3 linked regions of the Ovis aries genome follow. The protein of the gene in region 2 interacts with the protein of the main gene of each other region in a pairwise test. Links are inferred from orthologs where the notes say so. Each region holds a gene or a part of one and is shown on either strand. Other genes may lie near its edges.

Region 1 (4,233 bases), on a different chromosome or scaffold from region 2:
AATGGGAAGTAAGGGATCGCTGACTGTTCTTCACCCCTTTCCCCAGATATACAAGAATTTCTGAGTAGCTGCCGGTCTGTGAACACTGCTTTGAGTTCTATTGCCACATCGGCGGGAGGATCTTCTGAATCACCACAGGTCAAGCTGATTGCAAAGCTGAAAAGAAAATCATCTCATTTATTCACGGTTGAGCAAAATAACATTTAACAAAGACCCAGGCTCCCATTTCCTTCTTCCTCTCTGGATTGGTCAGCTTTTAGTGGGCCACTACTCTCCACAGGGCGGCGGTGGGGCGGGGGAGGGGGGGGTAGGTGACAAGACCATGGATAAGTAGAATTACAATCAAACTAGCTAATTTTGTTACCCACAGGAGGTGGCCCTGGAGAAAACTTTGATAGAGATGAAAATAACTAACTGTGGATATTTCAGATACTCCAAACTACCCACACATCTGTGTTTTAACCCATTTCAGAAGACTCAAAAACAGCCAGGGGAAACTGACCAAGGGAAACAATATCTTGTAGTTTGGTTCTCATTTATACTGATAGTTCTTACTCCAAGCACTGTGTTTGAAAAACATTTTTTTAAAAAAGTCCTTTGGCCTCCCTAAGGGTCAAAGAGAAAATGATGTGGGTCTATATTTATAATCTCTGATATAAATAGCTGTCTAGAGAAATGGCCACTGAGATTCATACACATTCTTTTCATGGGAACATAGTACTTTCTTGGCACTTGCAACCAGTAACACTGGCCACAGGGGTTGGAAGGGCAGCAGAAAGCTACAAGAGTGAGGCAGGACCTTGTAACTGCTGGATAGGTATAAGTGTTGTAGTGAAAAAAGAGGAAAAAGTTGTTTTGTTTTTTCTCTTGCCCTTTTCTGAGCTCTTTTTTTCACTTTTAACTGTTCCTGATCTGTAGTAGGTAATCAAGACTAACCTGGTATGCAGATCACACTCTGTCTGGGGCTCACCTTTACAGCACTCTCTTTGCAGACGACCCCCTCATAGTTCTTTTCCTCTCTTTTTGCACTACAGAAAGGAGGCCATAGTACAATTCATGCAAGACAATGGACCCAACTACTGGGCTACCTGATGGCCAGTCTGTTTTTGAAATGATACAAAAGGAAGAAGAATACAAGACCTTCACACCTTTGTTCCTCATCACTGACCCCTTCATCTATATAATCACCACCCCCCGCCAATTCCTCATGGGAGGGGCATACAGTTCTTGAGGCTCTAGCCTGCTGTTTCTCCCCTCCTCTGGCTGAGGATTAAAGCCACCCTTTTATTTTCTCCAAACTCTGTCTCCGTATTTTTCATTTGGCTTGGGTGGGCAGAGAAACCCAAAATTTTTGACAGCATCATAGGAGACAAGGAATCTGCCTTACCTTTCTGGGTTGAGGTCTACAATGCCCATCACTAACACCTTCTTGCCTGGTCTCATGCCACCTTTAATGTGCCCACAAAATGGCACGATCTGTAGAGGATGAGAGCAGAAACAAAGTTCACAGCCTGTTAGGGAAGAGCCAAGCCCTCAGTTCCTTAGGACTTGACCCATTTAAAAATGCAATTAGAAACAAGAGGGTACAGGCAGACACCGAAGAGGGAACAAAATCATTTACCAGTCGTGGGAAGTACACGTCGGCTTGAACTGGCGAGCCCAAGGAGTTGTTTAAATGCCCATCATCTAGTTTCTAAAAATAGAAGCACACAGATTGGCTTTCCAAAGGCTTTCGGAGGTGGGTGTTAGCGGGAGCAGGGAAGAACCTATACAAATCTGGAGGAATCCAGCAATCCTCCCCACAACAGAGGCTTACCCGCAGAAAACCCCGGAACCAAACCCGTCCTTTCTATCAGGTAGCTAAGCCTCTGATGCTCCCCAGACCCTTCAGATCTAGATCAAAATGAAGGTCGAGGCCCACTGGGGAACCAGAGCCCCGCTCCGGAGGAAGGCAGGCTCCTCTCCAACCGCAAACGCCCCTAGAACCTGTCGCCCAGGCCTGGACTCCAGGATGTGGCTGGAGTGCAGCAGCCGCGCTCAACTTCTCCCGCGAGCCCCAGGCTAGGACCCATTTCCAAGGGGGAATCCCCGGGATGCCGTGGGGGTTGGGGGAGCGGACAAGGGGCGCGCGCGCCGGACACACTCACAACCGCGCACACTCACACCTGGCCGGTGTCTGCACGGCGCGGAGTGGGCTGTAGCTCACCCCCACGCGCAGGCCGCCCCTAACACCTCCACTCAGCCAGCAGTCCTCCCGCGGGGCACCCCTCCAGCCCTCCCCCCACTCCGGTCGCGCACAGCCGGCTCCCTCTAACCAGGTACTGGGGCGCCGTCTCCCGCCGGGGGCGCGGGGCTGGGCCTCCGCCAGGCGGGAGCCAGCGGCGGGGCCGTGCGGGCCGCGGGAAGGGGGCGCCTCGCCGGCACTCACCACCACTGCATCGCTGTCGGCCACCGACCCCGCCATCTTCTCGCGCAGCGCGGCGGGGTGCGCGGCTGGCGGCCGGGCGGCGTGGGACGTGGGACGCGGCGCGCGGGCGGGGATCCCGGGGCGGTCCTGCGCCGGGCGGGGGCGCGGGTCCGAGGCTGGCTGGGGCGCGCACACACGCGCGGGTACGCGCGCGCGCACGCCCGGGGGCCCGGCGCCGACCGGGCCAGCGGCGCCTGGGGGAGGGGGGACGGGGGGAGGCGGGGGAGGCGGCGCGGGCCCGGAGGTCGGAGGTGGTTGCCGCGGCCGGGACGGAGCTGCAGAGTCTAAGCTGCTTTCTTCCTCGGGGTGCCGCTACCGTCGCCCGAGGAAAAAGGTGGCGAGGGCCGCGCCGTGTCGGCCTAGGGTGGCATTTAAAGGCCGCCGGGGCCCGGCTCGGGAACCGGGAACAGGGCGGAGACCCGGCTGGGCTGCCGCGGCTTGCTCAGCTTGCCCTGCCCCTCGGCCATTGGACGGCGGCAGGAGGCTGGGGCGGGAGGGACTGGCCTGCCAGTGTCGGGGCGTGCGAGGGGGCGGGCGCCTGGTCGGTCCTCTCCTGCGGCAGGGTGGGTGGGGCCGGGGGTGAGGAAGTGAGGCCGGGGCCTGCCAGGTGACAGGTGCTTGTGACATCCCCGCCCCTCCCCTCCGGCCACCCCCTTCCTACTCTGGCTGCGCCTGGGGGCAGGTGGGACAGTGGAGACTGAGATCCAGGAAGATTTGGAGGTGGAGGTGGATTCCAGAGCTCGAGATTTCTTTCAAAGAATTTCAGCGCAGTGCGAGAAAAGATTCATTTCGAGCCTTCCAGGGTACAAAGATAATGAAAGGCCTCTGGGCTTGCATAAATAAATATTTGACCTAAAAGCAAGAGGCAGAGAGGACTCGGAGTAGGGACTTTTATATAACGGAAGGCTGAATATAGAATAGACCTCCCTTCCCTGCGAAAAGATGGGGGTCCCTGGAGACTGTTTTTAGCCAGGGGCCTGGTTAAATCTCATTAAATTGAACTGGGCACAGTGCCTGCCCTCAGAAGGCCTTCGTTGGGCTGTTTTGTTTGTTTTTTACAAGTCACCTGCTCAATCTAGTGAAGTCGCCCAGTTGTGTCCGACTCTGTGACCTACCAGGCTCCTTCCTCCATGGGATTCGCCAGGCAAGAGCACTGGAGTGAGTTGCCATTTCCTTCTCCAGGGGATGTTCCCAACCCAGCGATCGAACCCGGGTCTCCCGCATTCCAGGCAGACGCTTTAACCTCTGAGCCACCGGAGAAGCCCAATCTAGGGGAGTGGGTTTCTCACTGAACATCTCCTGATACCCCTTGAGGAGTGATTCCCAGGGAGTGCAGCTCTCTTCATTCCAAGTCACAAATTCCTTTATGGTGTTTCCACATTAGGACGATTATGTAACTTCTCCGCTAAAGCTGTATCAACATACCCTGTATTCGGTGACGTCTTGGCTTAAACATTCCATTGTGTGCATCACCCTGGTGTTTTATACTTAATAATCAGAGAACATGTGTGACCTCAGAGGGGCCCTCAGAGACTCCTTTCCTGCCATGATTGCTGACTGTGTGGCCTGGAACATCACTGAGGCTTTGTGTCTTAGCTTTCCCTTTATGGACCAGAGCTAATCATGGTAATCTCAGTTGAGTAGGGAGAATTACCTGCACACGACTGTAAGCCACAGTCATACCCTTTGTGTGCTCTGAACTTGAGACTGAAGGGCAACACAGTTGTGACTCACACTTTTGCTCTTGTTTACCAGTCTTAGCTCAA
Region 2 (3,523 bases):
CCCCGAGCTTCAGTGCACGTGACACTCGTGGGCACTGGGCGCTCAGGCCACGGAGGCCACACACAGGACAGCGAGCCTGGTTCTTGTGCCCAGATAACAAGTGGATGTCCAGCTCAGTGCCCGCCCCAGCAAGCTTCAGGCCGAAGGCATCCAGGAGGACAGATGGCCAGGCTCGCCTGGCACAGCGGGGAAAGACGCCTGCCCTGGAAGTCGGCAGCCCTGCCACCCCCCACTCACTGGTGCTGCAGGGCCAGCTGCTCCTTCAGCTCCTGCTTCTCAGACTCCAGGCGCTTCACCTGCATCTCCTGGTTCATCACGTCCCACTGCAGGTCCGAGAGCCTCCCCTTTAACGCGGTGATGGTCTGAAAGCGAAACGCAAGCCACTCACCCTCGTCTCCGGCACAGGCACGGAGGGGAGCCTCTCACACGGAGACTCAGGGGCCAACGCTCTCCCGAGAGCCAGCCCCCGTCCAGCCCGCTCCTGAGGGCCCGGACAGAGCCAGCTCCTCCTTCAGAGCCCGTGACCACCCCTCGAGCCAAGCCACGATGACAGACGGCCTCAGGCATGAGGACGCTGCTGGCCGCGACAGGCGCAACCGCACTGGGCGGCCCCGCACCTGCTCCATCGCCCCTCCCGCCGCATGCACGCAGCCCCGGTCCTCGGCAGCGCCGCACACCCCCCCCCCACACCTGCTCTCACTCTCAGCCCGGGTTCCTTCTCCAACTGCCCCATCCCAGCTCTGCAGGAGATGCCACCGGTGAAGCACCCAGGCGCCTGCCAAGAACACAGGAGCGGGGGCGGAGGCGGTCCTCAGGACGAACGGGAGCGCCCCGAGGACCGCAGAGCCTGACGCGTGCCCAGGCCAGACGTGGTCGCTGAGGAAGGCAGCGTCGGGCTGGCCCACGGCCCAGCCCTGGGACAGTGAGCCCACCAGGCAGACACGGGCACGGACCACAGCCTCCCCGGACAACCTTCCGGTGATGGAGCTCCACTGTGGCTGTCCCGAGGCAAGAGGCCACACCTCCAACAGGAGAGCCAGCCCGCAGGCGCACCACTCTAAGGTAACAAGGGAAACCTCACCCCGTCAGCCTGACGGCCAGTCGGCAACCTACAGGCTGGGGGCAAGAGGGCGGACCGGCGAACTCGGCACGTGAGCAACGTCTGCAGGGGCGCCGAGCAGGCACGGCGGCCACAGCAGGCCTCACCCGCCCAGCCAGGGCAGCGCAAGTGCACCCACGCGGCCCCCCACAGGCCCCGCAGAGGCTGACGGCAGGGCCAGGGGCTGGGGCCTGCCCTCCTAACATCCTGCGTGGATCCCTTTACTACAACAATCAATCTGGGACTCAACAAAGAATGAACGTACTGAATCTGTGTGACAATAAATATGCCCTTTGACAACTCTTCCCGAATTAGACAGACAGGCGTAGTGCTGAATGCTGCGATCAGACACCCGCCCCACGGAGGACAAAGCTGAGGGGAAGCCCAGCCATTGGCAAGATGACCGCAGAGCGCAAGCGTCTACACCAGGCACCGTGACAAGGAAACACAGGGGGCCGGCGGGGTGGGCGGGGGGTCTACAGCCCTGGATTCAGACCGGGGACGGGGCCGCTTCTCCAGGGGAGTGAGACGTGAGAGCAGCAGGCTCCGTCCCCACTCGCCACCGCCTGCGCCCTGCCAGGGCCCAGCGCCGCCCGCTCTGCAGCCTCTGCCCGTCACGAAGCCACGTGCAGGACACCCCGGCCCTGCCCCCGCCCCCGCCTGCAGGGGGCACAGGGAGGCGCACACTGGGGCAGGGGCGGGCTTGCCTCAAGGGCGTCACGGCGCCCCTCCGCCAGCATCCACATCAGAGGACAGGTGTAGGGACAACCGTAACAGGCTCTCCAGCGTGGCCAAGGCAGAATAAGCTGGAGCCCGCTCCCAAGATCTACCAAGCAGAGAAACCTACGCAGAGGCAGAGCACCAGTGACCCCAGGCCCCTCGGCAGCGTCTCCTCCGGTCCCTCACGGCACCTGTGACCTTGAGCGGCTCGTGGGAGGGGCAGGAAAGGCCGGCAGTCCCAGCTGTACCACCAGCAATGTTCGGGCCCTGGTTCTAAAATGCATCCAGCCTTCAGCTGGTGGAGACAGGACTCCAGTTCATCCATGTTCTGGCTCCACAGAGATTCTCAGATGCTAATAATCAAAGACATGGAAATCCAGAGGCAGCTACTTACATCTTCTGGGGAGGGGGGACAAGTATTTCCACCCGTAACAGGGGCGGCTACAGGGAAAGCAGAGCCCTCGGCAACATCCGCTGACAGAGCAGGGCAACAGGCAGCAAAGGCCAGGAGGAGGCCCGTGGCTGGCGGTCGTGTAACACTATCCCACAAACCCCTGGGCTCTGTCCAAATGGAGCCATTCCACAGAGACAAAACGGGGATGCGCGCGAAGCTATGCGCCCCAAGTGTATCTGTACCAAGATGTGTGTGTATAAAAAGAACCCCTGAAGGTGACTGAAAATGGATTAATCAACCACTAAAAATCATAATTACAAAGACTAAAAAAGCATTCACCCTATTAACTGAAAACCACAGAATGGAAAATTAGTATTTTTACTATGATCACACCTCTGCAAAAAATGCAGGCAGAACAGAACCAACCAGGGACACTAGTCTGCAGCCACAGCTGGGGCGGGACCGCTCCACTCTTCCCGAGAAGCGGCGCCTCCGCCGCGGCCCCTCACCTCCCCGGCCTCGGCCAGGCCGTCCTCCTTCTCCCGCAGCTTCCTGCCGGCCGCGTCCAGGCTCTGCTGGCACAGCTTGTGCCGCTCGAGCTGCTCCTTCATCTTCTCCTCCGCCTCTGCCTCCCGCTCCTGAAGCTGCCGAATGCGCGCCAGGAGCTCCTGGTTGCGGTCCATCTCGCGCTGCCAAGAAGGATGGGCCTGGTGAGGGGAGCCTACGCAGGCAGGCTCCAAGACCCAGAGCAGAGCCAAGCAGAGCTGAACCCAGGAGGCCGGTCGTCAAGTCCACAGCCGCCCCAGGGCTGGAGCCGGGACCCCTCCAAGGCGAGCGCACGCCCCGCAGCACACAGGCACGCCTCACAGCGGCCCCCCGGGACGGCACGTGGCACGCACCACCCCCGTCACTGACCGCTGCGCATGGGAGGGGATGGAGCACAGAGATCTCACTCAGACTCCACCCTGGGAAGAAGCTTCTGAGCCTGGAGCCCAGCAGCTTCCTGGTCACACACAGGCTACCGTCACGACCAGCCGGCTATCCCCAGAGAGCAGGGGGCCAGGCAGCAACAGGCGGCACGGGCAGGAGCCCGCAGACAGGAGCGCCTGACCCTGGGCCTCGGCTCCCACAAAGCCTCAGAGCCACCCTGCACTGGTTCCCGCCAGGCCATGTGGCTCGCCCCGAAAGGCAGATGCAGAACTCAGACTCCTCACTCTAACGATCCCCGGAGGTCCAAAGGTTCCAGTGTCGGCCAGAGCTTACCCTCAGCCCAAGAAGCTAAGGGGCCACACAGTGGGAGCCAGAGTCCC
Region 3 (3,961 bases), on a different chromosome or scaffold from region 2:
CTCCTAGCAAACTTGATTCTAGCTTATGATTCATCCAGCCCAGCATTTTGCATGATGCCCTCTGCATATAAGTTAAATAAACAAGGTGATGATATACAGCCTTGATGTACTACTTTCCCAATTTTGAATCAGTCTGTTGTTTCACATCAGGTTCTGTTGCTTTTTGACCTGTACACAGGATTCTCAAGAGACAGGTAAGGTGGTCTGGTATTTCCATCTCTTTAAGAATTTCCCACAGATCCACACAGTCAAAGGCTTTAGTATAGTCAGTGAATCAGAAGTAGATGTTTTTCTGGAATTCCCTTGTTTTCTCTGTGATCCAACGGATGCTGGAAATTTGATCTCTTGTTCCTCTGCCTTTTCTAAATTTACCTGGTACATCTGGAAGTTCTCAGTTCATGTAAGGCTGAAGGATTTTAAGCATTACCTTGCTAGCATGTGAAATGAGTGCAACTGTACAGTAGTTTAAACATTCTCTGGCACTGTCCTTTGGGACTGGAATGAAGACTAACTTTTTCCAGTCCTGTGGTGGCTGCTGACTTTTCCAAATTTGCTAATATATTGAGGGCAGCACTTTTACAACATCATCTCTTAGGATTTGAAATAGCTCAGCTGGAACTCTGTCACCTCTACTGGCTTTGTTTGTAGTAATGCTCCTAATGGCCACTTGACTTCACACTCCAGGATGTCTGGCTTTAGGTTAGTGACCACACTGTTGCGGTTATCTGGGTCATAAAGACCTTTTTTGTATAGTTCTTCTGTGTATTCTTGCCACCTCTTCTTAATCTCTTCTGTTAGGTCCTTACTGTTTCTGTCCTTTATCGTGCCCATCCATGCATGAAATGTTCCCCTTGACATTTCCAATTTTCTGAGGAGATCTCTAGTCTTTCCGATTCTATTGTTTTACTCTATTTCTTTGCACTGATCACTTAAGAAGGCTTTCTTATCTCTCCTTGCTATTCTCTGGAACTCTACCTTCAGTTGGGTGTTTGTTTCCCTTTCTCCCTTGCCTTTTGATTCTCTCCTTTTCTCATCTATTTGTAAAGCCTTCTCAGACAACCGTGCTGCCTTCTTTTCCTTAATACTAAATAAACCACAGCTTGGCACTTGATTAGCCTCTGCATGGATGTTCTCAAATTGCTTCATTGTATAAAATCCTCCTTTTCCCATTCAAGCAGTGAACTCTTTGAGAGTAGAACTCATTCTTTATCCCTCTCCTACTACACCAAACAATGTAAGTACTCAATAAATACCCAAGAGACTGAACCGAGATTACCTAACTTATAGGAAAAATTTAATTAAACATACAAAATTACCTAAAGACCTCTTTGCCCTTCACACAACTGTTTCCAAAACCAAAACGGTTCCCAGTCACCCCCAAAATGGTCCCTGATCTAGCCATCCTTTCCAAGTAGACTGCATTCTCTCTTCCCTCTCTTCCATCATCCTCTGTAAAACCACCACCCCAGTCCTGCTGCTGCTGCTAAGTCACTTCAGTCGTGTCCGACTCTGTGCGACCCCAGAGATGGCAGCCTACCAGGCTCTTCTGTCCCTGGGATTCTCCAGGCAAGAATACCGGAGTGGGTTGCCATTTCCTTCTCCAGTGCATGAGAGTGAAAAGTGAAAGTGAAGTTGCTCAGTCGTGTCCGACTTCGCGATCCCATGGACTGCAGCCCACCAGGCTCCTCCATCCATGGGATTTTCCAAGCAAGAATACTGGAGTGGGGTGCCATTGCCTTCTCCGACCCCAGTCCTAGCCGCCCCCAACTGAAACCGTGCCTCACCTCTCAAGTGTTTTTGTTTTGCATTTATGACAGCATCAGAGAACGTCATAAACGGCCTAGGGAGAGAATTCTCATATTTCTGAAGCCCTACCCCAACCCAGAAGGTGCCAATGGGCAGTACTGAGACTCACAGAATTGTGGCCCACATCAAAGCGCCAATTCTCACGAACTGATAAAGAAAAAGGCACTTTTAAGTTAAAGCCTGGGTATTTTAAGGGACACTACCCCAAACTCGCAATCGTTTTCAAAATAAACTTGAGAAACTTTCCTCTCTCAGCAGTCCTCCGAGCTTCCCCCTCAGACCCCGGGCAGCTCCGTGACTCTCGGAAGTCCGGGCAGCTCCGCCTCCCAGTTCTGCCACCCGAGCGGGCGCCGTCGCGCTCCGTGAGACTCAGTCGCCTCCTTTCCCCTAGAAACCCCAGCAGTCCTCACAGCCTCTACGCTCACCTCTCGCTCTGCCCCTCGACCAGGCTCCTTCCCGCAACCCAGACACCTGGCCCAGCTCGGCCCTCGGGCCTAGGGCGCCGTCCAAGGGGCCATCTTTTCTCCCGCACGGCCCTACTTCCCCCGGACACCTCTCACCTGAGACACCTCCCACCTGAGACCGCCCCCCCGCCGCCGCCCCCAAACCGCTCGCACCAGGCGCCTTTCTCCGTTCCCTGCTCCAGGACCCACCCCTCACCGCTCTCCTCTACTTCTCCCACCTACTCCTTCCGGTTCATCCCTCCCGCCCGGACACAAGGCGGCCCTGGGACCCCGGCCTCCTCCAACCCCCTTCCCTCGCCTCAAGAAGACCCCTCCCCCTCACCTCGTTGCCATCCTCCAGCAGCAGCCACTCGGCGTTCATCCCTATTCGCCGCAAGCACCAGCTCCGTTCACCCGCGCGGCCTTCCGTGACCAGGGAGCCGGGATCCCCCATAGTCCACTCGGACCAAGGTCGCAGTCAGCACAAGGCCGGACCCTGACGTGGGTTCCCGCCGCCTCTCGGCTTCCTCGCGGGCGCCATACCTACACCACAGACAGAAGCAGTCGCTACGGACTCACGATCGATGTGAATGTTCGCTTGGGCTCCGCCCCCAGCCCGCCCCGGCCAGCAAGCGGGAGTCACTGCGCCTGCGCGAGAGGAGGGCGCTTGGCGGCCGATGGCCCAGGTGAGGTGGTCTAGGCCAGGTGAGGTGGTCTAGGCCAGGTGAGGTGGTCTAGGCCAGGTGAGGGTGGTCTAGCCCAAGGTGCGGCATTTGCCCCCCGCCCCCGCCCCAGGCACTCTAATGCTCCTGTCACACCTTGCCCACCCTTTGTAGAACTCTTACCCCAGTCTTAGCCTCCCCAAACTGGAGTCTCTTCTCACTTTTCCTCCTTTTTTAAAGATTTTGCTTTATAACGCTTTCTAAGTTGTTTAAAATTATGACCTACTATTAAACAACTTTTAACTTGTGATGTTTTAAATCTATTAAAGTTGCTTTAAATAGCACCTCTTTTGCACCATCTCCTTTAACTATTTTTTTAAAACTTAGACTGGAAAAAAAATATTAAAAAAGAAAGGAATACCTTGGCAGCCTATTGGTTAGGACTCCTCGCTTTCACTGACAGGGTACCTCAATTTAGTCCCTTGTTGGGGAATTCAGTTCAGTTCAGTTCAGTCGCTCAGTCGTGTCCGACTCTTGGCGACCCCATGAATCGCAGCTTGCCAGGCCTCCCTGTCTATCACCAATTCCGGAGTTCCCGCAAACTTACGTCCATCGAGTCTGTGATGCCATCCAGCCATCTCATCGTCTGTCGTCCCCTTTTCCTCCTGCCCCCAATCCCTCCCAGCATCAGAGTCTTTTCCAATGAGTCAACTCTTCGCATGAGGTGGCCAAAGTACTGGAGTTTCAGCTTTAGCATCATTCCTTCTAATGAACACCCAGGACTGATCTCCTTTAGAATGGACTGGTTGGATCTCCTTGCAGTCCAAGGGACTTTCAGGAGTCTTCCCCAGCACCACAGTTCAAAAGCATCAATTCTTCGGCGCTCAGCTTTCTTCACAGTCCAAATCTCGCATGCATATATGACCACTGGAAAAACCATAGCCTTGACTAGACGTTGGGGAATTAAGATCTGCAAAAAAAAAAAAAAAAAAATCCTGCAAGTGTAGCCGGGTGACTCACCCTTCCCCCGCCACTCTCCCCCTCCCCGCC

The links.
Region 1: the proteins of MAD1L1 (region 2) and LGALSL interact in binary tests that used the Homo sapiens proteins (3 or more experiments, as listed by UniProt). The two-hybrid records come from large-scale screens. The link is inferred for Ovis aries from reciprocal best matches to the Homo sapiens genes MAD1L1 and LGALSL.
Region 3: the proteins of MAD1L1 (region 2) and RNF8 interact in binary tests that used the Homo sapiens proteins (3 or more experiments, as listed by UniProt). The two-hybrid records come from large-scale screens. The link is inferred for Ovis aries from reciprocal best matches to the Homo sapiens genes MAD1L1 and RNF8.

What each region holds. Positions count from the first base shown.
Region 1 is NC_056056.1:43,853,333-43,857,565, forward strand, and holds the start of LGALSL (galectin-related protein), read right to left. Parts: upstream 2,814-4,233; 5' UTR 2,465-2,813; coding exon 2,429-2,464; intron 2,319-2,428; exon of another isoform or gene 2,146-2,318; intron 1,694-2,145; coding exon 1,622-1,693; intron 1,477-1,621; coding exon 1,388-1,476; intron 157-1,387; coding exon 1-156. UniProt on the Homo sapiens protein: Does not bind lactose, and may not bind carbohydrates.
Region 2 is NC_056077.1:41,374,239-41,377,761, reverse strand, and holds part of MAD1L1 (mitotic spindle assembly checkpoint protein MAD1), read right to left. Parts: intron 2,903-3,523; coding exon 2,723-2,902; intron 2,718-2,722; exon of another isoform or gene 691-2,717; intron 363-690; coding exon 238-362; intron 1-237. UniProt on the Homo sapiens protein: Component of the spindle-assembly checkpoint that prevents the onset of anaphase until all chromosomes are properly aligned at the metaphase plate.
Region 3 is NC_056073.1:11,303,688-11,307,648, reverse strand, and holds the start of RNF8 (E3 ubiquitin-protein ligase RNF8), read right to left. Parts: upstream 2,812-3,961; 5' UTR 2,704-2,811; coding exon 2,593-2,703; intron 2,500-2,592; exon of another isoform or gene 2,232-2,499; intron 1-2,231. UniProt on the Homo sapiens protein: E3 ubiquitin-protein ligase that plays a key role in DNA damage signaling via 2 distinct roles: by mediating the 'Lys-63'-linked ubiquitination of histones H2A and H2AX and promoting the recruitment of DNA repair proteins at double-strand breaks (DSBs) sites, and by catalyzing 'Lys-48'-linked ubiquitination to remove target proteins from DNA damage sites.